Coturnix japonica: one gene and its partners. The protein of the gene in region 4 interacts with the protein of the main gene of each other region in a pairwise test. Links are inferred from orthologs where the notes say so. Each region holds a gene or a part of one and is shown on either strand. Other genes may lie near its edges.

Region 1 (7,602 bases), on a different chromosome or scaffold from region 4:
ATGGACAAGAATAAAAGCTATAGTAAAAGCGACCATCAACCCTACAGCGTACTATATGATTTGAACATAGAAACTTAGAAGTCTGTTTTGCTTGACAACTGACACGTGAATGGGTGAAACTGCACATCATTATGTAGCTTGAGGAAGTTACCTCCAACTCCATGTAACTGATTGCTTGAATAAAGCACAATATTTAACCCAGAACTACTTGAAATAAATGGGAAACCTCAAAATGTCCAAAATCAGTAAGGAAAAATAATGCATAAGGATCAAGTGAAATATATTCCCAGGTGAGAGCCTCTACTTGTTCTATTTGCTTAAAATGAAGTAAGAGAAAACTAAATGGAACAACCAGCAACAAAACATAAAGAAAACAACCAACAAACAACAAGACCATGAAGAAAATGGTAATAAAGTTTTTACCTTCTGCCATATTAAGACAGTTCCTTTCCTATACATCAAAGGCTCGTTGTTGTAGTTGATGTTGAACTCAGAAAATAAAATTTCATTCTTATCTCCAGCCAAAGTTCCCTACAAGAAAATGAAAACAACTGGTACTCTTATGGAAAAGGACAGAAACAAACCAATAAGGTCACAAACAAACTGAATCTGCAGAAGATGGGTAAATATAGGAAGCAATAATGGCACTTAAAGAGGTTTTTCATCTTTAAACTACAAGGTGTAATTGCTTTTCCCCAGCAGAGGAGTTGTTTTCAACTGCCAAATGGGGATATTAAAAACAGAGAGAAGGCAAGGCACAATTTAGCAGACCAGATGATTGTCTTTGTACCTAGAACATAACTTTGAGACACTCTTACCTGGAGTCTGTCCTGTGCTTGCACTGGTGTCAAACCACTCCGCTGTACAAGCATCCAAAACACCGTGTTATAAAGGTTATTAATATGGCCTATGGGAAAAAAAAGAAGAAAAAAAGTATTTACCAAAATGACTGAATACTCAAAAAAATAGACAGCAACTTAATTCCCAGTATCATAACAAAAACCTTCTAAGAATAAATAATATCATTTGGCAGAGAAGATACATTCATTTTTAAATGCACTGCAAATTGTTAATAACTGGAAGACAGATTAATTTTACATCTGAAAACAAAGAGCAGAGGGAGAAGGAGTTTTTGTATGACCTTATCTCAGTTTGAACAAGGGCTGCATGTGAATGGAGACCTAGAAATGAAATTGACAAGTTCCACATACAAACACAACAGCAATAAAGACATTTCTATTCAGAGAGGATGAGAACTCAACTGCACAAGACCCCATTTTCTAGTAATGCTTACAATCTGCTTGTCTCCAGCTGAGATAGTCCTTTAAGTTTTGGTTGCTGGGATACAGCACAATTCGTCCATCAAATCCAGGTGGGTACAGAAGTTGTTGGTCCTTAAAGTAATCCTTCCAATAGAAAACGTAACTCGAGGCAAACTGGGAGACCACGTGAGTCATGAACTTACTTGGAAACACAAAACAAAGGGAAAAGAAAGGCAGACATCAATACGACTATATGCACCTATAACCACGATGTATCAATAGGAATAATTCTGGTGGGCAGCATTATTTCTTATGTAACGGTCCAACAGTTCAGCAATGGCATAATCTTTTATAAATCAAATACATGAGTTTGGAAAGCAAAACACTTTGTTAAAGGAAGCCCTGTTTTACCAGAACTACCTAGAGCTCCATATAACTGAATGCTATGGAAACACTGCTTGCAGAGTTCACATTAAGAACTAGAATTAGGTATACTGTGTATCTCCAAATACAGCCCACCTTGTAGCCTCTGTGTTCAGATAAAGGCAAACCTGAAGATGAGGGCTGAGGCACAGGTTTAGAGACAGGTATTAGTTCACTTTCATACCAAAGCAGGTGTTACCTCGCTCTTCTTTTAAACCATTTACTCTTCTTTTTGAAAACAAAGCTGTATTCATCGCTCTGTCCATAAGCAATAGCAATATCCTCCAACTCCTGCATCACGGTCTGGGCACATCTGGTCATCAGATGAAGAGCGCGGTCATCATTGGGCTTTTTGAACTCGTGTTGCTCAGCAAACCTGCAAAGCAAAAGAGATAGAATAAGAATCCTGTATAAGGCAGCTCAGAGAAGTGAATGGGTTCATTTGCATTGTGTTTAGCTTTTAAAATATTTACAATATCCAGCCAATACTAACAGAGAATTCCTTGCAGGTATGAAAAATGGTAACAAAAACCTGGTTTTACATAAGAGCTGATCCTAAAGTAATGCCTCCTATGTTGGTCCATGATCAGACCTCACCCCATACCATACCATATCATACCATACCATACCATACCCATACCATACCACCCCACACCATACCATACTACCCCATACCATACCATGCCATACCAGGCCATACCATACCATAGCATACCACCCCATACCACACCACCCCATCCCATCCCATACTGTAGCATACCATACCGTACCATATCACCCCATACCATACCCATACAATACCATACCACCCCATACCATAGCATACCACCCCATACCACACCATAGCATACCACAGCACACCATACCACCCCATACCATATCCATACACCATCCCATCCCATATCATATCCATACACCATCCCATCCCATATCATACCACACCATACCATACCATCCCACCCCATACCATCCCATCCCACCCCATAACATCCCATACCATAGCATAGCATACCACCCTATACCATACCCATACCACACCATCCCATACCACCCCATACCACATCATACCATCCCATACCACACCATACCATCCCATACCACACCATACCACCCCATACCACACCATACCATCCCATACCACACCATACCATCCCATACCACAGCACCCCATACCATCCCACACCATAGCATACCCATCCCATCCCCATCCCATACCACCCCATCCCATACCACTCCATACCATCCCATACCACCCCATCTCATCCCATACCACACCATAGCACAGCATACCATACCATACCACTCCACCCCATCCCATCCCATCCCATCTCATCCCACTCCAAGCCCCCCACCCATTGGCTGCCCACCCATTTCACCTGTGGAAATTGCGGCCGTCCAGCCGTACCACAATCCAGCAGTTGGGCAGACAAGTGTCGTCCGTCTCAAAATCCCTCACATATTCGAACTTGCTTTTCGCCATAGAGACCCGACCTCGCACACACCCCACCCCGGCTCCCACAGAGACACCAACAGCCGCCCTTAAACAACACAGCATGGCCGGAGCGGAGGCGGAAATACAGCATGGAGGGCGAGGCATTGAGCCTTTCTAGACGCTTGGGAGGACTCCCTCTATGGAACCCGGCTGCTGGTCTCCATGCGACCGCATTGTTTGGTGGTGGGAGGAGCCCAACGGAGCGTTGAAGCTGCTCTCGTAGGTGACGGCGGCGCGAGGGCGCTGCGAGCGTTGGGGACCAACCGCAGGAGGCAAACGGCAGTGGCGTCATGGAGCGGGGCGGGGGCGGCGGCTATGGAGGGGGTTCTGAGCTCCATGTCTGCTCACAGGGTCCCTCAGGCGGTGAGGAGGATCAGGAGAAGAGAGTTAAAGCTAAAGAGGTCCAGCAGCTGGATGGAGGCTGCACCGCCTGTCCTGATGGCAGCAAGGAAGAAGGAGGGGAGCTCAGGTGTTCCCCAGTTGGATGGGGGGGGAAAGAGAAGGCGATCTGTGTAAAAGAGGATGGAGAAAAATGTGGCGGAGAAGAGCAGGAAGATGTGGTGGTGGTGGAGATCAGGGGCGGCGTGAAGGAGCCATGTGCAGGAGTGAAGGTGGATGTGGATGAGGACGGTGCTGCAGGAAGGGCCTCGTGTGGACCCGCACACATCAGCAGTGATGGCGGCATGGCACAGCCCAAAGAAGGGCTGGGGGTCCTCCCTGAAGACCTGAAGATCCCCCTGGTGCTTCGGCCTTTGCCTCCTGGTGCCCGTATACAAGTGCAAGGCCCTTTGCTGCCAAAGCTGATCCAGGTGTCTAAGGGACCTGTGAGCCAAGTGCCTCTTAAAATGCAATCCCTGCTGGAGCCGTCTGTAAAAATTGAAACTAAAAACGTGCCCCTCACTGTACTGCCCTCCGATTCAGGTATTATGTTAAGAAGCCAAGTAGTCAGGGTTGTGGTAAGGTACACACAGCCGACGGGTTATAGGGAGGAGAGCAAAGGCAGCATTAGAGAACCATCTGGATACACTGTGTCTAATTCAGGGTGATGTGTGAGCTACAGGAGCACAGAGTTCTCTATTGGTTTATTGGGATCAGTACAGTTTGTTTGCTCTCTGCCTCTACTGAACCCCTTTATAATTGGAATCACACTGAATTTTGATTGCAGGTTGCAGTTTAGATGTCTGCTTGACTTTAAAATGGAGCATTCATACACCTCCCAGGACATGTTAAGCAATAAACTTTTTGTAGTACCTGGGTTAGAAGCTTGCTTGTTCTGGAAAGAAAAAGGCTTTTCAAATGTATAGGTTTTAGGCTTTTAAAATGCATGACTTAAAACGAAGTTCTAAAGATAAGGAAACCTCCCTTTATTGATAATATGGAACAGTTCACCTCTAAGCCTTTTGCTGAGGGATCAGCTGTGAGGGATCTGGCTGTTCATGATGTCACCAGTTCAATCCAAATGCAGTCTGTGTTTACAGAGATGTAAAGCTGGGTGTCATGTAACAGTCAGTTGGTAAAACAGATTCCTCCAGCAAATGAATGCTCATATCTGAGGGGAAAAACCCATCTAAGAACCCCAGCACAGCAGCAGCCTCAGCAGAGAATCCAGAGACTGCACAGTAGAGGGACCAAAGTGCTATACCAGTGTTATCATTAGGGCTTTTGGATACATAGTTCTGTGGGAGATGACAGACTTGCAGTGATATGGTCTATGCCATACTGAGTTCAACTTATAAACAAGCTACAGGAAATGGTCTAGTCGAGTGAAATCCAAACTGTCTCAGCAGTCACGTGTGTTTCATATTTTTAAGAAGAGAATAAACAACAAAAGCCATGCACGATTCCTTTATACAGTGGTTCGGTTAGTAGAGCCTTGATTAGATTTCTAGGAATTACTGTCTGCACGTGCGATGAATTTTGTGTATTCTGAAGCTCTAGTGATTCTGAAAAGCCTTTTGGTGTAATCTGTGCTTCCATGTATTGCCTGGAAGATGATCTTTCTGCACTTTGTTGCACAGGTATGCCAGATACTCCATTCAGCAAGGACAAAACTGGCCATGTAAAGCGTCCGATGAATGCGTTCATGGTGTGGGCTAGGATTCACCGACCTGCCCTGGCTAAAGCCAACCCCAATGCCAATAATGCAGAAATCAGTGTTCAGCTGGGGTTGGAGTGGAGCAAACTGACTGAAGAGCAGAAACAGCCCTATTACGATGAAGCTCGGAAAATAAAACAAAGGCACAGAGAGGAATTTCCTGGTAAACACGTATTTATTGATTTACCTCAATGTTCTAATAGTGCACAATTTACAGGAGGAAAAAACCAAAAAACCACAAAAAGGATTTATTTCATTAGAACACATAGAAGAGTTAGAAAACATGGCACAAATTTCAAGCACTCAGTCCTTCTATCAGCCTTCCAGTGCATGTGAAAACATATTATTAAGCATCCAAAAATTATATGCATCCTTTACTGCCTCTTAATTGTGTTCCTACATTCTCAGACCACCACAGCTCTTCTGGTTGTTGTGAACATCACTCCAAAACCCTTAACAAGTCTGTTTATCCACTAACAAGTCTGTTTATCCACTAACAAGTCTGTTTATCCACAACGCTGCAGTTCAGTTAATAGGATACTAACAAAACAGAGCATAAGTTCTTCCTGAAAGCTGTTATCAGGTGTCACAATCCTTTGTGATGCCATAATCCTTCTAACTCACAATGGCTAGACCAGGCTTGACTGGTCATGAAAGCAGTGCATGCTCTCTCTCTCTCCTGGGCTGCTTAGTGTAAGTTCACAGTTTATTTAAAGTCTGCTAGTGTTTAGTTAATGGTATATGTCAGAGGCAAACATACTTTTTATTGCCAAAATCTATATGGGATTCCTATTGGATCGTATTTTCCATTGTCTCTCGTAGCCTGCAGATACATAAGAAGTTTAAGGGGTTGAAGAAGAAATCAGAAAAGACCCAGATTTTTAATATAGTCATGATTTTCTTCATGACTGGGAAGCCCACAATACAGTGTCATGTTCTCCTAAACATGCTTTGTGTAGCTGTGCCATGTCACTCCCTACCCTTCTGTATTTCTTTGTCTAACAGTTACAGTTCAGTAACGCAAACACAATGTCCAAATGTGTCCATTTTCTTTCCGTCTCTGATAAAACACCCCATTTACTGCCTCACTGACAGAAATGCAGTTTTGCCATTGGAGCATTTTGAGAACTCTTTGACTTTTTTTCTTATTTTTTCTTAAGGTATTTCAGAATTGAAGTTGCCATAGGTTATAAAGAGAAAGAGAGAGAGAGAGAGAAATTAACAGAGGGACCATTCTATAAATGATGTATCTACATTTTTTTCATCTCTTACAGGTTGGGTTTATCAGCCACGACCAGGCAAGAGGAAGCGTTATCCACTGGCTGTCTCTGCTGTATTTTCCAGCACCACCCAGAATATCATCACTACAAATCCAGTTGCTGTTTATCCCTTTCCATCGCCTGCATTCCCTGCTGCCATGCACAATATTCAGAAAAATATTGGACATCCAGTCTGTGAGTTGCAGTAGTGAATGGTTTTAAAAATCAGGAATTTACCTATTATAGCAGCTGTAATACATCCACTAGTGTAGATATATTTAACAAATGATTTCTCAGTCTGCCTGGACACTGTTATTTCTTTCAGTTCTCCTCTGCATTGAACCTCTGCCTCCTAGTCTCTACCTACTGCTTCCTCACACATAGCTGCTCTTTAATTTTGTCCCCCTCTTCATCCTCCACAGATGCTCCTATTGTCTTTGTAGTTCCTGGTACCTCCTGGGTCTCTCTGGTTGTCTGTTACTCAACACTTGCCTCCTGAAGAGCTATAATAATTTCATTTCCCTGTTCTGTCTCCCTCACCCATATCTTTCCACACCAGATCTCACTGCACTCAGCATTCAAACCTGCTCTATTAAGCCTGGAAAAGTTTATTAGCTTATTACCTCCACTCCAATGTTAGTGCTCTTTGCTAGCAGAGCACCACTATTCTAGGGCTCAGCAACTTATGCTGCACACAAGGAGGCAGAATTGTCTGCAGTGCTCCCTTGTTTTTTGTCTTGTTTTGTTTTGTTGAAGGAAGGTTAAGATTATGGACTCCAAAACCATGTCAGACACACATAGGCCAGTTGGCACGTGACTGTGAGTTGCAGGGAAGCAATGCTATAATGTGTTTTGGAGGAAATGGTTCTGGCTTCAGATGTGGTTTGCTATGTCATTATTTATGAAATCTCCTTGTGTCTGATAAATAATTGCTTTCTTTCCTAAAGGTGAAGCTCCTTCTGCCACCCGGCTGCCAGCTTCCTCTATTCAGCGTCCAACTCCAATTAATCTTTTCCGACCTGCTTCTGCAAGCACCACTCCAGTGGCAGTTCCAACTCCAACCCTGCCTCT
Region 2 (7,532 bases), on a different chromosome or scaffold from region 4:
CCTTTAAAGGCCATCTGCTCCCACTGCCCTACAATGAACATGGACAGCACAGCTCCATCAGTGCTCAGGGTCCTGTCCCCTGACCTTGGGTGTTCCCCCATATATATCACTCAGATGTGATATCTACCACATCTGGGTGCCTGGCCCCCTGCTCCCTTTTACTGACACTTGCAGGCTGTTTAGGGGAGGGTGGCTTACCTGACTTCAAGTTACAGATAGATCTTCTGTTTCTAGTGCTTGTGATCACGCTCAGGTGTCAAAAATACAGTTAGTGTGTCCTTTCCTAAAGAGCAGTGTTGGAAAGCAAGGGATTACCATCTTTTACAACACAGAGCAGTCAAACAGCCATCATCTATACGGACTTAAACATTATTTTATTGGCTCTTCAGATAGAGCCACCTGCCTGAATAAGAAATACAGTAGATGAGTGTTGGTTATCACCAGTGTTTTCATCAAAGGTGTCTGGTTTTACCTGTTCAACATAAGGACTCCTAACAGATTGGTCTGCATTGCCAGCATGTGAAAACATGCATAGTCAAATCCCAGAATGAGGAAACGAGGCTGCTAGTGCATCAAAGACACACGTGTGCTCCCTGCAGGAGGTGTCAGCAGTTGCTGAGTGGCTGCACATGCAGTAAGGAAGTGAGAGACTCGTGGCGAGGTCTCTTGGCTGCCTGTTCTCTGTTGTTGTACCACTTTTTGTCCTGCTCATTTCCCTTTTTCTTGCTCCTGGGAACACCCTGGGAATGCTTTGAATTGCAGGTAGCGACTTCAAACTGATCCTTCTATATCTTGGTTATTCTAGGTGACTCAGAACACATCATCTTCTCACTAATTAATGATTTCCAGGTAAGACCTTGTACTTTAATTCGGGAGCCACACAAACCTGCCTGGAATTGCTACAAGATGAGCATTGTGCTTCTACTATTTCCTATGCTTGTGGATTGCCTGGGCTGCTCTAGGCACATTCATTATGTCAATGATCTCCTTCACAGTTGCTTTAGGTTTTCAGAGCAATGGGAGACAGTTTGTCAAATCTCTTCCTTTTCTGAGCTCTGGAAACAGGATTAATCCAGCAAAATCACAACCAGCCACTTGGGGGTGTTATTACCGGGTGTGGAGAGGGCAGGAGTGGGGTCGTGTATGTGTGTTGAGCCCCAGCAGAAGGGGGGATGTGCCCTGTGTGCATTTCACAAGGGGGTGGTGGTGTTTGCTGCCAGCTTGGGAGAACAGAACAGCTCTCCTTGATTTCTGCAGCAGCTGTTTGTGTGTCAAAGGCTCTGAGTACAAACAGGTGCTGTTGCCCATCACGCAGGGGTTGGAGCTCAGCATCCAACAATTGCTGTCTCACAGTGGTTTTCAAGTTGGCTGTTGGGACTTCCTGACTGCTCAGACTGTTTCTTCCCTTGCAGGCTGCTGCAAACGGCCCAGGGTGGCTCCGTAAAGAAGAGTTTGCAGTTGCACCGATGGAGATCTGTTATCCAAGCATATTGCTTGCTGATATTGCCAAAATGACTGCTGTGCCAGGAATGTATTTGCATTTATTTGCAAAGGCCAAACGTTGTACACTTCGATACCACTCGTCTCCCTTCGCTGGATGCTCCGTGGTGAAAGATCTGTGGAAATGAAGCACGACCGACCCTCCAAAGTGCATTGGAAAAGAGATTTCCTGTTATTTTCAGTGTCTCGTAATGCTGTTCCTTATACGTGCAGATCAGAATAGGTGTCATAACCGTGTATAGAGCATTTGTTGTACAGGTGACAATGCGGCGGACTGTCTCTTCCGTTCACTTGTCATTGACAGATTCTATTTAAGAATTAATATATGAGGTCAATCGTTTCACTCCTGGCTGCACTCATTCGAGTAAACTCTTGGAAAGGGCTGACAATAGCAGGACACGGGGAAATGGTTTTACCAGTTAAAAAGAGGGAAGATTTAGCGTTGCGATTGTTTGGGGGGAAGCTTCTTCACTAGGGAGAGTGGTTGAACCCTAGGAACAGGCTGCCCAGGGAGGGTTGTGGATGCCCCGTCCTTGGAGGTGTTCCAAGGCAGGTTGGAACGTGCCTGGGCTAACGCTGATCTATGGGGATCTATGGGGTCTCTATGCGGGATTCTATGGGTCTCTATGGGCGATCTTATGGGTGGTCGTATGGGTCTCCTGGGGCAACCTGACTAGTAAAGGTGTAATTTTTGGGTGGCCCTGCCAGGCCAGGGGGGCTTTGGAACTACATGATCCTCTGAGGGTCCCCTTCCAACCCGGGTCATTCTGTGATTCGTTTCTCATGACTAGAGAAGTGATTTAATGTCACAGAGCTGCCTCTCGGGATACCTCCCGAGGAGCTGCTCACTCGACAGGGGGCCTAGAGGGGCGCGTTCCTTCTAGCCAGCATCTCTATGGTTAGGGCATGGTTAAAGTGACGTATTTTTCCGTCGCCGGAAGTGATGAGGTTCGGTTCCGTCCCGCCGCCATAAAGAGCGGTAGGTTGGAGCGGGGCCGGGTCGTCGCTCGGATCCATCATGTCGATGTCACACTTATACGGCACGGACGGGGAGGATGGAGTGGAAATGGAGAACTTCGAAGTGTCGGATTGGGACCTTCAGAACGAATTCAACCCACACCGGCATCGCCACCGGCAGACCAAGGAGGAGGCCACCTATGGCGTGTGGGCCGAGCGGGATTCGGACGATGAGAGGCCCAGCTTCGGCGGCAAGCGGTGCGGGATGGACCGGGCCGGGCTATGGGGGATGGTCACATAGGCCCAAAGGGCGTCAGGGCAGCAGGGGGTTGGGTTGTGGGGTATAGTGGGGTAATAATAAAGTGTGTTATAGATATAGGTTAAGCTAATACATAATCAGATAGTCTCCTCTCTCCAGTTCTGATTACATATTCATTACGTTCCCTATGACTCCCCGTTCCCCGCAACCCATTCCTTCATTCCCCCTGACCCATTCCAACTGACCCGCCCCTTAATAGCAGGACACGGGGGAAATGGTTTTAAGTTGAAAGAGGAAGATTTTCAGGTTGGATGTTTAGGGGCGAAGTTCTTCACTAAGGAGAGTGGTAGCCTGGACAGGCTGCCCAGGAGGTTGTGGGATGCCCCGTCCTTGAGGTGTTCAGACGCAGGTTTGGACGGGGCCCTGGGCAACCTGATCTAGTAAAAGGTGTATGTTTGGTGGGCCCTGCCAGGCAGGGGGTTGGAACTCCCATGAACCTTGCAGGTCCCTCCAAACCCGGGTCATTCTGTGATTCTGTGACCCTTGGCCGTTGTTTTTGGGGTGAAATTCTTGCCTGTTTTTTTTTCTTACTTGGTGTTATCTGCTGGTATCGTTCTCCCATGTCAGCGATCATCCTTGCCCGGGGGTATCTAATCTTTACACTTCTTATCTTATTGCCGCCTCTTCTCTGGTTTTTCTTTTCGACTAAGTGTCTGTAATTCCCCTTTTCCCTGCCCTTTTAGAATGGTACACTATCTACAGTTTACCCTTTGTCTTGGTTTCTGTGAAAGTTCCCCTTTCTATTCTATGCAAGAGTGTTACCTTTACCATCCATTTTGGTGGCTCTTGCTCACTCTTACAATTCCCCCTTTTCTTTATACATAGCAGGCCTTTTACCTCTAGATTCTTAAGGGTCTCAAATTACATATATGACTCCGTTCTCTACCCTTATGTCTCACAAACGCTCGTATTGCCTTTGCTGTACAGCTTAAGTGAGGATAGGAATCCGTAGTAGTTATTACGTTTGTAAACAAGCACATAGAGCACTTTACTACTATACAGGTAAAACTTATTAACAGCACCAAGATGGCTATAAATTGGAGATTTACCGATCGAAAATGAGCTAGCTGTTATCAGATAACGCCTACAATTTCGTGGTTATACCAGCTCGAAGTGGAGTTAGTGGTTCCCACAAATCCTTTATCTTTCGCCTGAGAACCTAGTGTTATCAATATGCGCGACACAGGTAAAACACGTTGCTCAGCTCAATCTTCACCAAGGAGGAGGAATACCGATGTTATGTCTTCGAGAGGTCAATGGAAAGCATCGTTTGAAGAACTCGACAGGTCTTAGGTTTTGGTTCAGTCTCTACACTATACGGAGGAATGATAAACAGGTAACCGCTCCCTCGATAAGTGGCTGGAGATTGTGGTTGACCGAGTCCCCACCGCGGTGAAACTTCAATGAAGCCGGCGGAGAGCGCGGGCTTGAGCGAGTCTCGGTGTGTGGAAGGGAATCTACTGATGAAGATGAGAAGCCCCATTTAGTAGCCATGGAGGAAAAATCCCTAAAATGGGAAATAGTTGCCGAAGACAGTTGAAAAAACAGTGAGTGAGCGCAGAGGGAATACTGAGGCGAGTTGGTGCTTTGTTTCAGCCTGGAGAAGAGATAGGTTTGCGGGGTGACCTCATTGCAGCCTTTCACCAATATCTGAAGGGAACATTATTCTGCCCAGAAAGGGAGTAACAGCTCTTGGAAGGGCTGATCAATAGCAGGACTACGGGGAAATTAGGTCTTTAAGTTAAAAGAGGAAGTATTAGCAGTTGGGATGTTAGGGGGAAGTTCTTTAAGCTAGGTAAGAGTGGTTGAGGCCCTGGAAAAGGCTGCCCAGGGAGGTTGTGGATGCGCCCGTCTTTAGTAGTGTTTCCAAGGCAGGTGGTAAAGCGGGGTCCCACTGGGCATTACCTGATCTATGTAAGTTGTGTTATTGTTTTGGTGGCCCTGCTATGGCAGGTGGGGGTGATTCCTTGAGGTCTGCCGACGGTCCTCACTCTGGAGTCATTCTTGTAGTGAATTTCTGTTGTAGATAGTGGATACTATGATCTGTTTGTCGTGAGCTCTAAGAGGATAATTTCTGAGGTTCTTGCGGTATAAACAGAGCTATTCTGAAAGAAATGTGCCTTCATTTGTCGCCAGATGTGGGCAAGTTTAGTGTGGATTAGTATAGTATACTTCCCTTTTACAGAATTAGGGTTATGGTGCTGAATAGGCTCCAAGGTGTTAGGTTCCTGATATTGCCGCAAGGCTTGGTTGTGTTTAAGAGCCGTTTGGATGTGGTGCCTCAGGATATGATTAGGTCAGTAAAGGGTTTTTAGAGTTAGGGCATCTGGTTAGGCTGCGGTTGGACTTGATGATCTTCAAGGTCTTTTCCAACCTGGGTAATTCTATGATTCTAAAGGGAGAACCAATTAACACTGATGTAGCACGTGGGTTATGGCATGAATTTGAGGGTTGTGTTTTTATTTTCATGGATATCCTGATGTACTGCTGTGTACCCCTGGGAACGTCACTCCATTGTGGGTCTGTTTCCAGTTGTCAAGCACAAAAACAATTAGGAAGCAGCTTCAGTGAAGTCCCTGACAGAGCCTAAAAACTGGCATCTAATTTGGAAAGTTTTTAAACAACAGGGAGCTCCCATGGGCACAAAAGTGGCTTTCTGACATAGGGAGCTGGAGAAACAGGATGCAGTGTGTTGACAGCTGAATTGCTTTGCAGAAGTACCTTGTGACAGAGTGAAGTTCCACAGAGCTTTGTTATTACAGCACCTTAAAACTTGTTTGTGTTTTTTGCTCTTACAGGGTGGAAATTTCAAGCCCAGTCAGAAAGGTTTTGTAGGGGGCACAAAATCTTTCATGGATTTTGGCAGCTGGGAGAGACATACAAAGGGAATTGGGCAGAAACTTCTCCAGAAGATGGGTTATGTCCCTGGAAGAGGTCTTGGAAAGAATTCTCAAGGTACCATGATCCTGTATTTGGTTGTTTATTAATAACTAATAATTTGAAGAAGAAACTGCATTGAAGAACTGGCATCTTGAAGTGGCTTCTATGTAAATTCTTGCTTCTCTTGCCAAGTGCTCTTTCTCGTTTGAATTTCTTCCTTCTGATCTAACTGATCTCTTGTTAGGTATTATTAACCCAATTGAGGCCAAGCAAAGAAAAGGCAAAGGAGCTGTGGGAGCATATGGCTCTGAAAGAACCAGCCAGTCTTTGCAAGACTTCCCTGTTGTTGACTCGGAAGAAGAAGCTGAAGAGGTATTTGTGTGATCCCTGGTACACCCGTTTACCCTATTGTATTGTGCAAACAAGATTCAGATCTAATCAGCTTTTGTATGAGAGGAAATAAATCTCATTTTAAGTAAGAAACTAAAAACACAGAACATGAATTTCATTTAAACATATTTTCTTGTCAATGTAACATCCTTTATGTTGGTTCTGCCTCATATTATTCCTGTAGCATTGCTAGAATCCCATCCTCAGTTTCCCCCAGATAAGTAATTTGTCTTTTGTGTAAAAAGAAGAAAGATCAGAAACATTCTGGTTGTGGTAGTGTTGAGAAAAGGCTTTTTTATTGGACCATGGCATTTGAGCCAGTTTTTGCTCTGCTGTGTCACTTTCCCTTTTGTTCTGCTGTATAGCGTTCTCCACTGATTGTTTTTCCATAGAAAACAGGCAAATTTGAAGCATTGAGAACAGCAATTGTAATTTCTCCTTTTTGTTTAGGAATTTCAGAAAGAACTCAGTCAGTGGCGGAAGGATCCTAATGGAGGCAAGAAAAAGCCCAAATACAGCTATAAAACAGTAGAAGAACTGAAAGCCAAGGGTAGGATTAACAAACAGCTTTCAACCCCTCAGAAGGAGCTCTCTCAAGTCAAGGTAAGGCTGATGAACCAAGTGATGGCATCTTTGGGAAGCAACTCAATTTGTTTGCATTAGTGTTGAATACTTTTAGGCAATCGGTAAGCTTAATAGAAGTTCGTTCTAACAACTATTGTCTACAGCCTCATGCAAATCAAGGGTTCAGATTCATTACTGAATCATTTAATAGACCACAACGTAGCCTGCAATGTTGGACTTGTCCTCGAAGAGCATCTTGATCTTGAGAAAAGATTAGTTTTCTTGTTTGTTTGCTTTTGTAAGTTAATTGTTTCACATTTGTCACAGCTCACTCGATTTTGTAAACATGTTTGTCCTTATTGTAACCGTGCAACTAAACACACAGTACTTTTTAGGTAGAAGAGCTTTCAGACTGTAAGGAACTCATCTTTAATGCACTTAATGAAGTTATTCACGTAAATCAGCAAGTCCCAAGGCTTCTTTGCAGCTGTGTGTAATTGTTGTTCTTAGATTAACTCAGTAAAATGGTAAAGCTGAGATCAGATGTAGAATCTTCGAGCTCTAACCTCAAGTTGTTCTTCATTTACTCCAAATCTTCACATCAGAATCAGGTCTTTTCAGAGGTACTCTCAGGCTGCCCCATTCAAAACCAGATTTTATTACCAGGCTGCTGAATCAGTCTCCAATTTTCAATTTGGAATAAGGTGTTTTGTCTCTTTAAACGTGAATTGCATTTTATTAAGACAAGTTTTTTTTTTTCTTGTTTGTTGGAAGGTTATAGATATGACGGGCCGGGAGCAAAAGGTTTATTACAGCTACAGTCAAATTAGCCACAAGCATAATATTCCTGATGACAATCCCCAGCAGCCACTGGGCAAAGACTCTAAGCCCCAGGGATTTGCCCTGCCTGAGCTGGAGCACA
Region 3 (7,529 bases), on a different chromosome or scaffold from region 4:
GGTGGAAGGACTGCACTTGTCCTGTGCTCAGTAGGTCTCTGTTGAACCGTGGGCTTCAGGGGAAATTCTGGGGCTGTAAACCATAGGTATGTACAATTCCCATTCTTTCATTCCTTTTGACTTAAGCATTTGCCATCTTAATAACCTTAGATGGCTTTTTCACTTTGATTTGAGGTCCTGTTTCGCCAGGCAAAGAAAGCAAGCAGCATCCTGTTGTGCAAACAGAGCCACCGAGTGAAATATCCTTAATGAATTATTAGCTCAAAATATTTGTAATACAGGATAAATATTTGTAAATGCAACATAAACATGGAAACTAATGAATGCCAAGAGAGGTCAGCATTCAGTATATGTCAATAGAACATCATCCTTTGATCACTAACATCTCAGAGGACTGCATTACATTGGATGTTAACACTGATGGCGAACCAGTGTGATCAGTCATTGTAGGACAGCAGCCTGGTTTCTTTTAGGCTCTACCCTACAAATCAGAAAGCAGTTCTCATAGCAGAGGTAGTTGCTGCCCTGAGCTTGTCAGTATGGGCCTGGAAATGTTCTAAAATGTGGGTTTATTCAATCTTACCTGAAAGGGTGGGTAGTTTGGCTGGTTTGGATATAGAGGAAGTGGAGGGAAGCTCAGACTCGGCCACATTGGCTGGTTTAAGTTTGTGGTGGTTGTAGTAACGGGAAAGTGTGGATTGGAAGTGCTGGCATTGTATATAACTATTTTTTTATCCAGTGCTGCAGTAGTTACTGTAAAACAAAACAAGGGTGAAGATAATTAAGCATTCCCTTCATTAAACCATGAAGCACTTGCAGCTAAGGGGATGCACTCCCTGTGAGCAAAGTGTTTAAGATGCTTTTGCAGGCTGTATTTCTGGAGACCCATGCTTAGAAATGAGCAGATCAGATTCACATGTAAGGCCATTAAACCCCAACCCACAGGACCTGGAATGAAGTTAATCTCCTGAGCTGTAAGAATGACTGGAATGGGGCAAAAGATTCTTGTTTTGAGCTCTGTAAGAACAAAACTATCTGAGACCAGGAAATTAGCACAGAAGAAACTGTGTCCTGATCCATACCTGGATTCTGCAGTGCCTTTGTGGCTGCATTGGAGTCAGGTCTGGAGCAAATCTTGGCAAGTGTTGGGAGCTGCTGCTTCTGTCCTGCAGTTTGACTTTCTGCCATCAGAGCTGGCACAGCTGTGCTATTCTTTGCAGCACTGACAGTGCCATTCTGGAAGAACTCTTTCATTGTCTTGCTTTCCTCAGCCATGAGTTGCCTGTCTGGACCTTTGGCAATATCTGTGTGCTTCAGCAGCAATGGCATCCCCAGCTTGTTGCCCTCTGTGCTACCAGCACCTGTTGTGCTGTTGTCCCCCAACCCCTTGGAGATCCTGGGAGAGCTTGTTGAACGCAGGAGGTTGGTGATGGTGGATTTAGCAGAAAGCTGAGCATCGCAGAGAGCTCTTAATTTCATCTCTCTTTCTCTGTTTCCAATCACTGCTCTGTATATGCTCTCAAGTCCCTCTGTTTCATCTAGCAACCAGTCCCTGTAAGAATGTGAAATATAGGGATTCTGTTGAGAGCTTGACATTAGATTGAACTCATTTTCTTGACTGCTTCTATGCCTTGCATTTCTGTTTCATTTATGCTCCGTTTAAGCCTCGAGTATTCCTTCTCAACCGGAATGAAACCTACCTCCAGGACACTGTTCTTCTCCAAAGAACCACATAAAATGGGAAAATTAAAACAAAATCTGAACTTAACACACCTATTTGGGAATAACTGAAGTTGGGTGATGGCGTTTCAGACTGGAAGCCATGAAGTCCTCTAGGACTTACAGTGGGGTGGCTGCCAGGGCTGAACAATGCTGTGTCTCTAAGGCACAACTCAGTGTTTGTAGTGGTTCCCTACTCAAAATCCTCCTTTAAATTCCACGTTGCTCTTTCACAGCCAGGTATGTTCAATAACTTAACGTATCATCCATTTACTCTCCTCAGCTTGAGGGGAAGTGATGCTCTGTGCATGCACTGTACAGATACATATATAGTACATAAATGGATTGCTAATATTAGTGAAATCTGGATAGTTAAATGTAGCTAATTATCTCTAATCATAGGATCACCATAATTGGCAGGATGCTGCTTTATCTCCCTATTTTTAAAGAACAGATACCTTAAAATCCTCAACAAACCTATACTATGGGCATAAAAATAGAAAATTGCTGTCATTTCCAAAGAAAGCTTATTTTCTACAATGCTTTATCCCATCTTTCACTGGGATTCCTCTCTCCATTGGTGGTTGCAGCCACCTCCGAGGCTGGAGGTGGACACCTGACCTCACCTGTAGGGATTTTAAGGAAGTTCCCTTGAATTCTGTACAGCGATTTGGTTTCATTGCTTCAGGTTTGGTATTTTTGGAAGGTTCATTGACTCAGGGGGGTGTCTTTGAATAGCTGGTGAGCAATGAACTGCACTGTGTGAGTGTATGCTGAGGGCACTTCTTTGCTGAAGAGCCTGTTTGCTGAATGCAGGGAAATGCTGCTGGCAGAAAGGGTCAGAGCAGCTGCCCAAAGTAACTCAAAGATCAGCAGGAGAACAATGAATCATTTCTCTGACCCTGAGGAAGGTGCTTTAGCCACTGCGCTTTGCTGGCTGTTTAATTTCATCTTAGTTGGAGGTGTTGAGTTTGTTACAGGTCCTTGCTGGTTGTCCCAAATCGTTCTTATCTGCTTCCTCAACCCCATTACAGTGGCGTGAGGGTGGGCTGCAGGGTGGGCTGCTCTCACTGCATTAGATTAATTGCTAAAAACTGAACCTATATATTTCTAATGGTGGCTTTGCTTATGTCGTTTAATAGTTCACAGTGGTTTATACCTTATCTCTTTGCTTGGACTTCCAAGCAGCTGGCATGACCAAGTTACGTGGCTGAGCTTGTGCTAATTGTCAAGATGTTTCAGCAGCATAAGTTGACCTGCTGCTGTAGGCCAGTGCAAGTCCATTGGCTTCACTGGTTATTCTTGGGTTGTTTGGTTTCACTTTGTGCATTTATTCTAGGCCAGTTATTACTGTTATTGTTATGGATATGGAAGGGAAAGGAAAGGAGTCAGGGCTCCAAGATGTACTCCCTGGGTTTCACAGTGACACAGCATAGGGCATTTCCCCTTCTGATCCTCCACGTCTTCAGCTAAAAGCATCGAATTATCAGCTTTCTCAATCTGTGATGTTAGTCTTAAAAGATACGACAGCTGTTTTTCACTGTATCAGGCAAGATGTGTGACTTAGGCTTTAAGAAGTGGACACGAGCTAATAACTTGCTGATTGATAGCTGGACATGTAAATTTCACTCTTTTTCTACTTCAGGAGCATACAGTAAATATTATCCCATTAATCTGAAGAGCATCCTTCCCTCCCTTATCACCATTTGTCCCGCAGAACATGATTTGGCATAATTTTTTCTGTGCTAAATTCAGCTTCTCTTTGTAAAGATCAGCTGTTTACAGTAGCTTCCTTATAACACTTTAATTTTCGATTTTGTTCCTTTTGAATGCTGCTTTCACTTCTTCCTGTAAATATTTTGATGTGTGTGTAGTTGTTTTGCTTTAAATGTTGTGGGGAAGCAAAAGCAGCAGCTGCTTGTGGTGCTTCAGATTTTCAAGTAGCTGGCTTTCATGGGACAAGCTCTCCCAAAAAGACTGGTTATATTGGGACAAATGGGGATACTCTGTCCCATTAAGAGGCTGCCCAAAGCCAACACAGCACCCCTGTGCTCCAGCTCTCTGTTTCTAGGGGTTATGAGGGCTCTGTTGGAGTCAAGCCCCTTGTCCTGCAGTGCTGGTGGTCACTCACCCGCTGTGGGCACCGTTCTTGCTCCATGGGGGTCCCTGTGGGTCCATGCAGATGATGGGCTGAAGCTCCTCGGGGGGGCTCTGCATCCGTTTCCAGATCTCATGGCAGGCCTTGTCCAGCCCGTCTTGGGGCGTGTTGTCGTGGATCCAGATGTGCCGTGGGTATGGCCCCAGTGGGAACGGCCCCTCTGATTTCACTGCTGGGGCTGCAAACCCATTTATGCTGGTGAGCATCCTTCAGCCTCTATGCATCCAGGCTATCTTCTTGAGTGGTGTTTTGTTTACATGGCAAACGGAAAGAAGAGCCGTGGCAACCACGGAACGCCAGGTCCTGGCAGTTGATAACTGAAATATCTGCTTGTCCTTGGCACAGCTGGGAGCTTCCCCTCTCATAAACTAGATCCCTGTCTTTCCAGGGTCAGCATTCAGCTGTCCTGCCCCCTTCTTTCTGTACTGGAGCTTTGCCTCTTCCATTTAATGCGCAGGTGATGAAGCTCCAAAGAGCGCATGGCTCTGCTCACTCATGCCTCTGCCCAGATAAATGTTATTTTCTCCCTACCAATAGTGATGATATGGTTAAGAAAGAGTAAAATGTGGTAGTTAGTAAGATGTTTTGCATTCCTATGCTGGATGACTAGTGGTGAAACTCTCTCAATTCCTGGCATAATTCCCTAAGTGTGAATGGTTCTGTGGTTCCTCATTCATCACCAAGGGTTGTGTTTGTGATCTTCATTGGGGGGAAGAGAGAAAGGAGAGTCCAAGGGACATGGGTTGGGGTTTGTGCCTGGTATTGGCATTTGTTCTATGTGCCCTTGCCAAGCTCTCGGGTTCTCAAAGTTCACTGTTTGGGCAGGGAGGAGAGATGAGTTGCAGTGATAGATGTTGGCTATGGTGATGGATTCTACGTTCATCACACTGCATTTAGCAAATAAATACTTTTTATTCTTAAAGAGAGAGTAAGCTTTCGTTGCTAGGTGTGGGGCCACGCTTAGTTGGGAGCCCTTCATTTGCAATAGGTATGGCGTTATTGCCCAGGAATAAAGTGGGACTGTGTCTCCTCAATGACTCGATTATGCTGGCTGCTTGCTCCCGGTGCGGGGCTCCAGACCTTGGCTCGGCTGTGCTCTGCTGTGTGCAGCAACCCAGTTGCATCTCCGGCTACAGCCTGGGGGTTGGGGGCCGAGGTGGATGGCTGTGTAAGGGAGAAGCGATGTATAGAGCTGTCAAGTGTGGTACCCTGTTCTGTGATCCTTTTCGATTTGGATCCGTGCCTTTGAACAATAAGGTCTATTTGAATAGGACACTGCAGTTTAAGCAGACATAAAGCAACTCTTTCATGTAACAGCGCTGGTTGCCTTGGCTCTTGGCATTGGCTCACAGTGTAGGCAGTGGAAGGATTCAAATGCAGAGGGGACACAGGGAAAAGGGAGCGAGAGAGAGGCTGGATCCGAGGGCGGAGGGGCAGATTTGCGAGCCCTCGATATCATTTGTTTTTAAGCTGTCAAATAAGCTCATTCAGGGCAACCGGAACGAGCCCCAAGAAGGGGGTTTTGCAGCAAAGCAACTGCAGCAAAAGCAGGGCGGGGGTTGGGGGCGGCCCCGAGCCGGGCTCGGCTGCTTCGCCCTGCTCCGTGTCGGGGGGAGATGGGGAGGATGCGAGTCTCGGTGCTGCGGGATGGGGCTGCTGCTGGCCGAGGGGTGGTCGTTGGGCAGTTGGTTGCTGGGAATTTTGGGGGGGCGGGGGGAAACGAACGACTTCTCAGGGTGTTTTTTTTTCCTTTCTGTTAAGCTGTAGTGTCACGTAGTTGTTGTTTTTCTTGTCCGCGGATCTGCGCATCATCGCCACGATAATTAAGTTCCTCACTGTATCTTTTAAAGACCGCATTTTTTTCCTCCCCCCCGTATCTTGCATGCAGCCGTAGGGACAAATGGGCTAACAGACGCTTAAAAAACAACCAACAAGGTGGGGGTTAGAGGAGGATGCTGCTCTCAGCCCGGTCCTGGGGGGGTTATGGGGGGGCTGGCTCAGCCCGTTCCATTGCCCAGGACAGGTCAGAGCCTGGGGCTGGTCCCTTTTATGTTCCGCATTTACCCAATTTTGCTTCATCACCAAAATCGTGTCAATATCATCAAGTTGTTTACCGGGGGGGGGGCTGTGCTGCTTCCCAGCTGATGTCTTTGTAGCGGAGATGCTCTATGTGTGTCCGTGGGCAAAATGGGGGGGGCTGCCACGCCAGAAACCTGTGGCGTGCATTAAAAAACAAATGCCTAAACATGCTAAAGCGTAATTTGCGGCTTGCTGGTGGTGCTGGGGCGGGGGCTGGTGGGAGGATTGCGTTGGGTCCAAGGAAGCAGAAACGAGGCAGATCTGCTCGCTGTTTGCACGGCAGCCCCTCATGGCATCGTCCGAGCCCCCTCCCAGCATTTAGAGAAAGAGGTGAAGGAAGATACAGGAGCGATTAATCAAGTGGCTAATAAAAAAAGTATAAATCCCCGGGGGCTGCGCGCCGCTGATGCCGGAGAGCTGGCTCGGAGACAGGCACCGGGAGGGACGAGCCAGCCCTCCTCTCTTCGCCTCTCCTCTCCCCGAGCTGCTGCCACACTTGGTTCATTCCAGCTGCAGAAGCTCAGAGCCTTCCATGCGGTGGGATTTTATTTTATTTTATTTTATTTTTTCCCTGGGCTGAGAAAGGAAAAATAAATAGTTAAAAAAATAACCAAGAAATCGCAAGCCTGACCTGCTTTTTTTTTTTGTTGTTGGTTTTATTTATTTATTTATTTATTACCCCCCCCCCTCACCCCCCCACCCTTCTTGCTTTTCTCCTCTTCTTCCAGCCGAGCCGAGGACTATCCCAATCGCAAAGGGGGAGAAAAAAGGGGGAAAATCCACCAGCAGCCAACCCCCAACACGCCCCATTCCTGCCGTCCTTTGACATGCAACCTTCCTTGGGATGGGACCGGCCGGGATGCAGCTGCAGCCTCGGAAGGAATTGGGGAAAATTGGGGATCTTGGCTCTGATGACGGTGGAAGTGAGCTCCTGGAGCCGGGTGCTGCTGCTCTCCGTGGGGCTGCTGGCTGCCTCCACCAACGGTGAGTGTATTGGGGAAGGCTGGTAACTTTGGGGCATCTCCCTGCTTGATGCTTATAGCCTGGGACTGCTCTTCATCCTCTTTCCAGGGGTCTCTAGTGTGTGTCTATGTGTGTGCTTGTATGTCAGCACACGCTTTCCCGTAGTGTTGAATGAGTGTTGGGTTTTCTTTAGATAAGATTGTTGCACCCAGAGGCTGGATGGAGAGAAACTGTCTTAAATGATGTAATACCACACAGAACCTTGGAGTATTTCTCCTTCTCTGACGGGTCAAATAATTAGCACACGGTTGCTGTATGATACACGAGATGACTGTGAGAAATGCCATTGCTTTCCCCCTTGCATCTTAATTCATTATATCAGTACCCACAGCGTTTGACCATAGCTGATAAAATAGCTTTGCGCTCCTTGAATGAAAATGGAAGCACTTTCCTCCTATTCCCCCATTGCATTTGAACTTGGTGTGCTCTTACAGACGAGCTCCTTAGCCCTCAACACAGTGATTTTAGTGAGAAATGCATGTATTGACTTGGAAAGAGGGAGACTTCCATTTGGGGGCCGTGTGCGGACGTCGCCTCCCCGGTTTCTGCA
Region 4 (7,720 bases):
GTCCTGTCCAAGTGCATCTTAGCAAGTGTCAGTGCTTAGACCTATTTTATTTGGTCGTCTTTATCTGGGGTGTGGCTATAGTGCTCAGTAACATTACTAACAGGGATGCAAAGCTTGAATTCACTGTGTCAGGGGAGGGTCTGGTGGGGGTTAGGGAAAGGTTCTGCACCAGAGGGCAGTGGGTATGGAACAGGCTGTGCAGTGGGCTGGGGGATTCTTCTGTCTCTTCAAGACAAAGCTGTTAACAAGCGTTTTAAAAGGCGTGTGTAGCATAATGCTATGAAAGACAAAAGGTTTGCTTTAACAGATTTTCATTTGTAACATATTCACTGCCTTAAAGCTACTTTGGATCACCAGCAGTAGTGTCCTAACAACGGCTGCTGGCTGAAAACTGCTCTCTTTCAACCAGATGGATGCGAATGTGTGCTAGCAGCTGAGAAGTGGCATAAGGACCCTTGAGACCTTCATGAGTGGAGCTGCAAACACACAGACAGCTCTCAGCAGCACCTCTGTCTTGCAGGAGACCTGTTTATTTCTTCATCTGCATTTATTTCCTCAACATGGCCATCCTGCTCCACATGCAAAAAGATTTCCTCCTGCGATCTGCGACCGCGTGCATCTCAAATAGGGAGAAGCTTATCGGTAGCTTGAGGCGTCCTATCCTCATCTTGAAGACAGCGCGAAGCTCTCCCTTTGTGCGGTGCTTGAAAGGAGCAGGAGCTGTGAGGTGAATCAGCAAAGATGCAGCGGCACGCTGCTGCTCCCGGCGCTGCATTAGGTTGGTTTATTGCATGCCAACAGCGTCTGCGGGTTACGCTATCACATTTGTTCTGCTCCCCGCTGAGACTCTTCCGTGGCTCGAACAATGAGGCGATGTGAGTCCCACGAGAAGCAGGAGCTGCTATTAAGTCCTGAATAGTCACAGAGTGCAGCATGATACTGAATGCAAAATCCCAAATGAATTCATATAAAAGGAAAATAAATCTCAGTGACGGGCCTGGGCTTCAAACAGGGAGATTTGTGCGTGTGTGTGTTTACTTTTCCGGAGGTAAACTGGGTACAGTATAACTTCTTTCAATTCCACAAGCACCCAAACAAACGAAAGCAGCAATCTACACTCAGAAGCAGCCTTTTTTTCCCTACTCAATGGTACACACCATCAGCTGTGCAGCATATGCTGCCACAACAATAGCTCGGAGACCAGCAGATGGTGCCCGGCCCTCCCCCAGGAGGGGCTCCTCCTCCTTAACTCCTCCCCCTCCTCGGCGGCCTCCGGCCACGAGGGGGCACCATTGCTGAGCAGCGTCTCGCCCCTCCTCCTTCCCCTCCCCTGGTGGGGTGGGTTTCTTTTTCAGGCGGTGGTGGGAGAAGCGTTTCCCTACAGTCAGTATAAATACAGGCACACGTCAGCAATATGAGCGCCTTGAACAGTGCTTTAGGATGCAAAATCTGACTGAAAGTTAATCAGATTTGATTGAAAGTCAGCGTGCTTCAGCTGGAGATGTTAAGTCAGTCAGTAGTGCGTGCACTGAGTGAAGGCTGTGTTGGATAAAAGCTGAACGCGTGCACTGTGAATGTAGTTCTTTCAGTTCATTTTTCATATATATATATATATATATATTTAATTTTGTTTTTGGGAAGTGTTCACCATCAGCTGAAATGTCTGCCAGCAAAACTCCGAGTGAAATTGAAACACCCGGTGAGAGAAACCCAGGACTGAGAGGTGCCCGAACGACAACTCTGTTCCGAGCTGTGAACCCGGAGCTGTTCATTAAACCCGTAAGAGGCTCTTGCTGAGAGAAACTAAATATGTTTGGAGGCACGTTTGCTTTAAAGAAATAATGGCAGGTTTTTCTTTCATATTTGAAACGGTCCAAATCATAAAATACAAGCTTAGCACTCAGAATGCATTGTAAAAATACCTCAAAAGTTAATATAAAAGTATTATAAAAAGAGGCAATATTCATCTATTTCTCATGTGGGGTGTTTTTGGTTTTTTAACTTAATGACAGATGGTGACATGGCAGAGCACTTTAAAAAGGCTTGTGTAAGGGATAGCAATGTGATTTAAGGGTATTGGCCAATATTCTTTGCTACAGCATTTGCTGTTATAATTAAATTGATGGTGCTCTGCCTTTATTTACACTTGCATAATCCAGTGGTGTCAGTAAGATGAGATGAAACCTTGTGGACATAATAAAGGTAGATTTTGCGGGGATGATATGTGATCATAGAATCATAGAATTACCCAGGTTGAAAAAGACCTCAAAGATCATCAAGTCCAACCTCAGCCTAACCATAGTACCCTAACTCTAAAATCCCTCTGCTAAATGATATCCCTGAGCACCACATCCAAACAGCTCTTAAACACATCCAGGGATGGCAATTCAACCACCTCCCTGGGGAGCCTATTCCAGTGCTCAAACAGCATTTGTGACCTATGAAAGACACAGGCCAGTGCCTCTGGGAATTGAGAGACCTCTTTCTTATGGAGAATTTATTTTGTTTCCAGAAAATCGTGTCTCCCTTCTTGCAGTTTATCATAAAAGTCACCTAAGTCGGTCTAAAGGAAAAGCAACACTGAGTTCTTCATATATGGCAATAGTTTACTCTTTGCTTTGTAAGCTAAGGTTGAAGAATGTGATGTTTGTGATGAATGAAGAGTATCTTGACTAAAAATACATACTGTTTTTTGTTGGTTTTTTTTTGTCAGAACAAACCTGTGATGGCATTTGGACTCGTAGCAATTACCCTCTGCGTGGCCTACCTTGGTTATTTGCATGCTACGGTAGAGAATAAAAAGGATCTCTACGAAGCTGTTGACAGTGAGGGGTCCAAATATATGAGGAGAAAAACTTCCAAGTGGGACTGACGACAAGTCAGCCACAGAACATCTCAAGGTTGAAAAGAGCTGTTTTTCCTCTGTCCATTAAAATGGTGGTTGAATCTCTCTTGTGCCTTTTAATCCAGTATAAGTTCCATTATAAAATACCATGGCTGTACAAATGAATTGTAACTTAGATACATGCAGACATAAAATTGATTTTAAGGATTGTTGTCTGTGATCTCCATAGTATGTCTAGACTGGTAAATGCCTCAGAAATTCATGTGGCTCAACTCATTTTCCTCTTTGCTTTTGCTAAATGAAAACAGGGAGTTTTTTAAACTGGAGTACGCAGTGCACTGTGTGGAAAGAAAACATTGGTCTCCTGATCTTTTGAAAGTTGATCAATACAGGGTTGCAGGTAAAAGTAACTTTAAGGTGGGATCTAATGAAGATCTTTATCAGATGGTGCCCTGTGGGAGTGGCTGGGGGGAAGTAATTGTGATGTTTCCTTAGTGCAGGAGGTGGGCCCACAAAAGCCTTCCTGCTCTTCTTTGCCTTGAGGGAGCTGTGCAGGTGGGTACTGCCCTGTTCCAGCACTGAGGCCTGCTACATCTGCGTCTGACACTTGTGGCAGGACAGAATGTGTGGTGGGTGCTGCATACCAGTCTGGGGCTTATTTCTACTTCAAACCTTTGCTACTGATCTGGTTGCTTTTTTTTCCCCCCCATTCAGCTCCTCATATTTACACTGTCTTCAAGGGCACCCAAGAAGTTGAGAGACCTCCCTGTAGCCGTCTTCTGGCCAAAGTGGATTCTGTTGGGCCAAGAAGGAAAGTGACATGTGAAGGGCATCTGCTTTGCTACTCTGGGATTTGCTTCTGGGAAAAAAAGTATTATTGAAGGTAGCAAAAAGGTAACAGACTACCTTGAGGGATAGCAGAATCACTATGGGATTTCTCTGTATCTCCATCTAAATCCTTTCTTCTGAACATGTGATTTTTCTCCTGTCCAAGTTTTCTAAGTGTATGCTACGTTCAGCTGGACTTTGGTTTAGCTGCTCCCATATGAGAAGTGAAGTGAGCTATAGAAAAGCTTCAGAAAGCCTTTAAAGTGTATTCCCCTTTGACAGCCTACGGCAGGGCCTCAGAGCAAATCCAAAAGCATGCAGAAAGGAGATGGCTTGCCTCTTGGTTGGTGAAAGAATTATTAGGTAAGTTGAATACTCTGAACCTTCAGATGCTCTGCGTATCCTGTAGAATGTGTTTTTTAAGGAGGTGGTGGGTTATTAGAATTAGTCCTACAAGAAGGGCTACGCAGGATGGTAGCCATTAACATGTGTGAGTCTGGTATGTGTGCAGGAACTTAACTGAATGATTGCAAAATGCCACAAAAAAAGGCCTTTGACCAGCTTTTCTCTAAGCTTTTTAAATACACAATTTGATCCTTCTACATGCAGATGATTCAAAGTGAGGAAGCCCAATCTCATTTTCACATATTTTGGGAAAAATGTGGGATTTGAATTCTTAAATTTTGACCTACATTTTGTGGGCTGAGTGTGGATCTAGAAGTTGTGGGTTGGAAGGAAGTGAAGAAGGAAGTGAAGTTTGATAGTGCCCAGACTGGAGGAGGAGTGAATGTTGAGACTTGTTCTTATTTTTAAGTACCATCTCCGTATTTATTTGCATGTAAGTGACTTCCTTGATGTCACTTACATTATGACACATAAATAGGAGATGAAGCAATGCAAATGTACTAAATTAATGGTCACTATGGTATTAATACTGGCGTTTGCTGTTTTAGTTCCCTGATTCATACACACAACAGTGATGTGTGAATTGGGACTTAGGCAAAAAAATACACCCAAGGAGAACTACATGAGCAGTAAAATTTGTTCAGGTTGAAAGCAAAGCACTGCTCCCTTTGTGCATCTGGAGGATAAGCAAACAGCACCGAGACAGCCTCTTTTGCCCTGTTTCCCTCAATTTCATTTTCAGTACAGTAATAAATATTTACAAGGGATGATAGCTGACTTGACAGGAACTGAGTCAGAATGGTCTCCCGTGCAGAGGCTTTTTCAGCTCCTTGCCTGTCCCATATCTTCTGTGCTGACTTCCCCATCTTTACCAATAGCAGTGACAAAATGCTATGATTCGGACATCTGAAGCAGCAGCTATTGTTCTGCTCCTAAAATCTCCTCTGAGAACACGGTTTGAATGGGAATTATTGACATCCAGCAACAAAAAGCTGCGCTACAAAGCCAAAGCCTGCTGGGCTGCTGCTGAACTATTACCAGGCAAGCTCTGTGAGCACAGAGTCCCACCTGGTAACAGTTGCTATGTGGGGGGCTGTACCAGGGCTGGAAGGGGTCACTTCACACAAACCTCCCTCATCTGCCTGCATCTTCTGTGCGTTGCTGAGCTGACAGCATGTGAATCTCAATCTGAAGGCAAGCATTTCCAGTAACTGGGTAGAAAACAAGTCAGTGGCTTCCCACTCATCCCTGGCTTGCATGCTTTTTTTTTTTGTAGCAACAATAAAGAGTTGGCCTGCAAGCAAGACATCTATCCAGGGTAGAGTTCTGGCAGTTCAGTGACCGTATTGCAAAAAAGCACTAGCACACCACAATGATTAGAAGCCCAGATTTGGATTCCTTCGTTTGCTGCTCTGTATGTTCCAAAATAATACCACCGCCGCCTTCTAAAGCTACTTTTGATCGGATTCGGGAGTATAAACCTTTCAGGACACGCTATTACACTCATCATGATATACTGGGTGAGTTTGTTTCTGAAAGCCTTGTCTCATACTCTGAGAATTAGGAAAACTCAAAGTGCTTCTCTGTCCAGGACTCATGTAGGCTGTCTGGGTGAGAAAACTGCAGCAACCTTCTGAATGCACTTAAATCCTGCGTATTCAGAGGGAGGCAGGGTCAGCTGTCCTGTGGTGCATGAAGGCATTTGGATTTGTGCACAATGAAGTGTGCAGCAGAATTAGATGCAAGTCTTAGCAAATGCTTTCTAAAGCTCATTTGGCTGACATTTGCAAAGATCATTCTCTCATTCTACAGATAGGCTGCTGCATCCTGAATCCCACCTTCTCATACCTGAGTCTGGTTGTTGACCATCACTTGAGCCAAGTTCAAACCTTATTTCAGTCAAAACCGATTTTTCCATCCGTATTGATAGAATTATAAACAAAAGGAGTCTTTTGTCCTGCTATTTTAGCAGAGTTGTCATCCTAAATCTCAATATTATGTCTGTGTTACACATAGCACAACTTAAACATGATCACAGGTTTAAAAAGAAGCATTATCGCTACATAAGCTGAGCTTAGCATCTGACAAACGGCTCCAAAGAATGATATGGCATGCTGATAGGAACGCTCTCCAAAGCTGAGGGTTGGTTTTTCTGGCACAGCAGAACTGTAACCTCAAAGATGAAGGAAAACATATGGTTGCATTCCTATGTGTGAGGATCTAACACAAGCCTGAAGCGTATTTGTAAGCTATGCCTAATTATCATAGGGGTTTCTGATCAGTGGTATAAAGTTTTGTAGAAATTGCACCGTGAATTTTAATTAACACATGTTTCAATGGGAGTGTGTTTGGTTTCTCTCTTAAACAAGCAGGAGATTGCCAGTGTGCTGAGAGGAATGGGGTGAATGCTGGGTATTTCTCAGGAGGCAAAGCCTTTGCCCTGCGTTGACAATGTAAAACACATCCAGAAAGCTCTAGGAAGTCTTTTTAAGTTATTTTCTTGTTACTGCTTAGTATAATGAACTGGGGAAAAGCCAAGCAGCCAGGGCACAATGTGCTTCTTGCTGAGATTTCTACATTGTTGGACTTAGGTTTAGTTTGCTAATTTAGATCAGCTGACCCCTTGTCTCATTCTTCTACTCTTTTCCATGTACTTTATGTTAGCTCCGTGGAAGGACTCTGCCCACCCATAAAGTGGATGGGGAAGGTTGGAGCGAAAGAGGGAGATTCAGCCCTGCACTGGCTGTTTGAAAGCTTGAATCCTCAGGTCCTTTTTTGTTTTCTTAATAACTTAGGGTAAGAATATGTGACTCTTCAGCGCTGTCAAGCATGGAGAATGGGATCCAAGGCAATGCTTAGGCAAGACACTCAGTAGGAAAGGGGGAGGATCAGAAGTTCCCTTTTTTGAGATGGGGTTTTGCATTGCAGGAAGTTAACTTTATCCACCTCTCTTCAGCGTCTTGTCCTCTTCTGGGCAATCCTTGGTGCTGAAGGTCAGCCTGAACAAGCAGGGCTGTCTGCTTGCTTTTATCACCAGGAGAAGATGGTGGTGCTAATACCTTATTTAGAACCCCCACTGTGTGTTACCCTAAGGGAGTAACCCCCATCCTACTCTTGACACAGTGGCATGGTTCAATTCTTGTTGCTCCACTCCTTCTTTCCAGAAGGCCTTCCTTGGGTCCAGCAGCGCCAAAGGCAGAGGAGTTTTTCTGTGTGTGCTCTGTGCCAAGTACCTAAAGAATGTCCACCAGGCCATTATTTCTCGTGTGCTCCAAGAGCAGCATGAAGGCATCTGAGCATCTTCCTCAGCTTTGGAATGTTAAAAAGTGTGCCTTCAGAAAGAGGATTTAATTATTCTTAAGTTCTGAGCCAAGACTGTATCCTAATTCCATAAGGCCTTTCTTTAGAGACCAACTTGTATTATTACATCTGTGGAACCTCATAAGCTATCATATGATTACCTACATGTATATGAAATTAAACTGCATGGGTTTTAGGCTTTTAGTACTTAACTTAGCTGTAGAACCAAAGAAAGCAGTGAGAGGAGAAGGCAGAGTTTTCAGCATTCTGGTTATTTGCTGTGTGTGATCCCCTTTTGTTGGTTGTACAGAGATTGGAGCAAGCATTCAACAAGAGGAGCGT

What was found.
Region 1: the proteins of cilia- and flagella-associated protein 206 (region 4) and SOX30 interact in binary tests that used the Homo sapiens proteins (3 or more experiments, as listed by UniProt). The two-hybrid records come from large-scale screens. The link is inferred for Coturnix japonica from reciprocal best matches to the Homo sapiens genes CFAP206 and SOX30.
Region 2: the proteins of cilia- and flagella-associated protein 206 (region 4) and TFIP11 interact in binary tests that used the Homo sapiens proteins (3 or more experiments, as listed by UniProt). The two-hybrid records come from large-scale screens. The link is inferred for Coturnix japonica from reciprocal best matches to the Homo sapiens genes CFAP206 and TFIP11.
Region 3: the proteins of cilia- and flagella-associated protein 206 (region 4) and C23H1orf94 interact in binary tests that used the Homo sapiens proteins (3 or more experiments, as listed by UniProt). The two-hybrid records come from large-scale screens. The link is inferred for Coturnix japonica from reciprocal best matches to the Homo sapiens genes CFAP206 and C1orf94.

The regions. Positions count from the first base shown.
Region 1 is NC_029528.1:13,025,061-13,032,662, forward strand, and holds the start of SOX30 (transcription factor SOX-30), read left to right. Parts: upstream 1-3,446; 5' UTR 3,447-3,467; coding exon 3,468-4,098; intron 4,099-5,195; coding exon 5,196-5,435; intron 5,436-6,546; coding exon 6,547-6,726; intron 6,727-7,478; coding exon 7,479-7,602. Other genes in the region: THG1L (probable tRNA(His) guanylyltransferase), read right to left, coding at 424-531, 819-907, 1,295-1,464, 1,885-2,061, 3,062-3,282. UniProt on the Homo sapiens protein: Acts both as a transcriptional activator and a repressor. Binds to the DNA sequence 5'-ACAAT-3' and shows a preference for guanine residues surrounding this core motif. Binds to its own promoter and activates its own transcription.
Region 2 is NC_029530.1:6,264,912-6,272,443, reverse strand, and holds the start of TFIP11 (tuftelin-interacting protein 11), read left to right. Parts: upstream 1-2,426; 5' UTR 2,427-2,518; coding exon 2,519-2,715; intron 2,716-3,459; coding exon 3,460-3,463; intron 3,464-5,574; coding exon 5,575-5,731; intron 5,732-5,900; coding exon 5,901-6,028; intron 6,029-6,496; coding exon 6,497-6,649; intron 6,650-7,384; coding exon 7,385-7,532. Other genes in the region: TPST2 (protein-tyrosine sulfotransferase 2), read left to right, coding at 806-835. UniProt on the Homo sapiens protein: Involved in pre-mRNA splicing, specifically in spliceosome disassembly during late-stage splicing events. Intron turnover seems to proceed through reactions in two lariat-intron associated complexes termed Intron Large (IL) and Intron Small (IS).
Region 3 is NC_029538.1:4,085,193-4,092,721, forward strand, and holds the start of C23H1orf94 (uncharacterized protein C1orf94 homolog), read right to left. Parts: upstream 4,170-7,529; 5' UTR 4,084-4,169; coding exon 3,851-4,083; intron 1,553-3,850; coding exon 1,083-1,552; intron 754-1,082; coding exon 584-753; intron 1-583. Other genes in the region: CSMD2 (CUB and sushi domain-containing protein 2), read left to right, coding at 6,784-6,940.
Region 4 is NC_029518.1:69,677,302-69,685,021, reverse strand, and holds the start of cilia- and flagella-associated protein 206, read left to right. Parts: upstream 1-3,165; 5' UTR 3,166-3,739; intron 3,740-3,864; exon of another isoform or gene 3,865-4,036; intron 4,037-5,354; 5' UTR 5,355-5,450; coding exon 5,451-5,598; intron 5,599-7,688; coding exon 7,689-7,720. Other genes in the region: SMIM8 (small integral membrane protein 8), read left to right, coding at 1,660-1,779, 2,714-2,872. UniProt on the Homo sapiens protein: Essential for sperm motility and is involved in the regulation of the beating frequency of motile cilia on the epithelial cells of the respiratory tract. Required for the establishment of radial spokes in sperm flagella.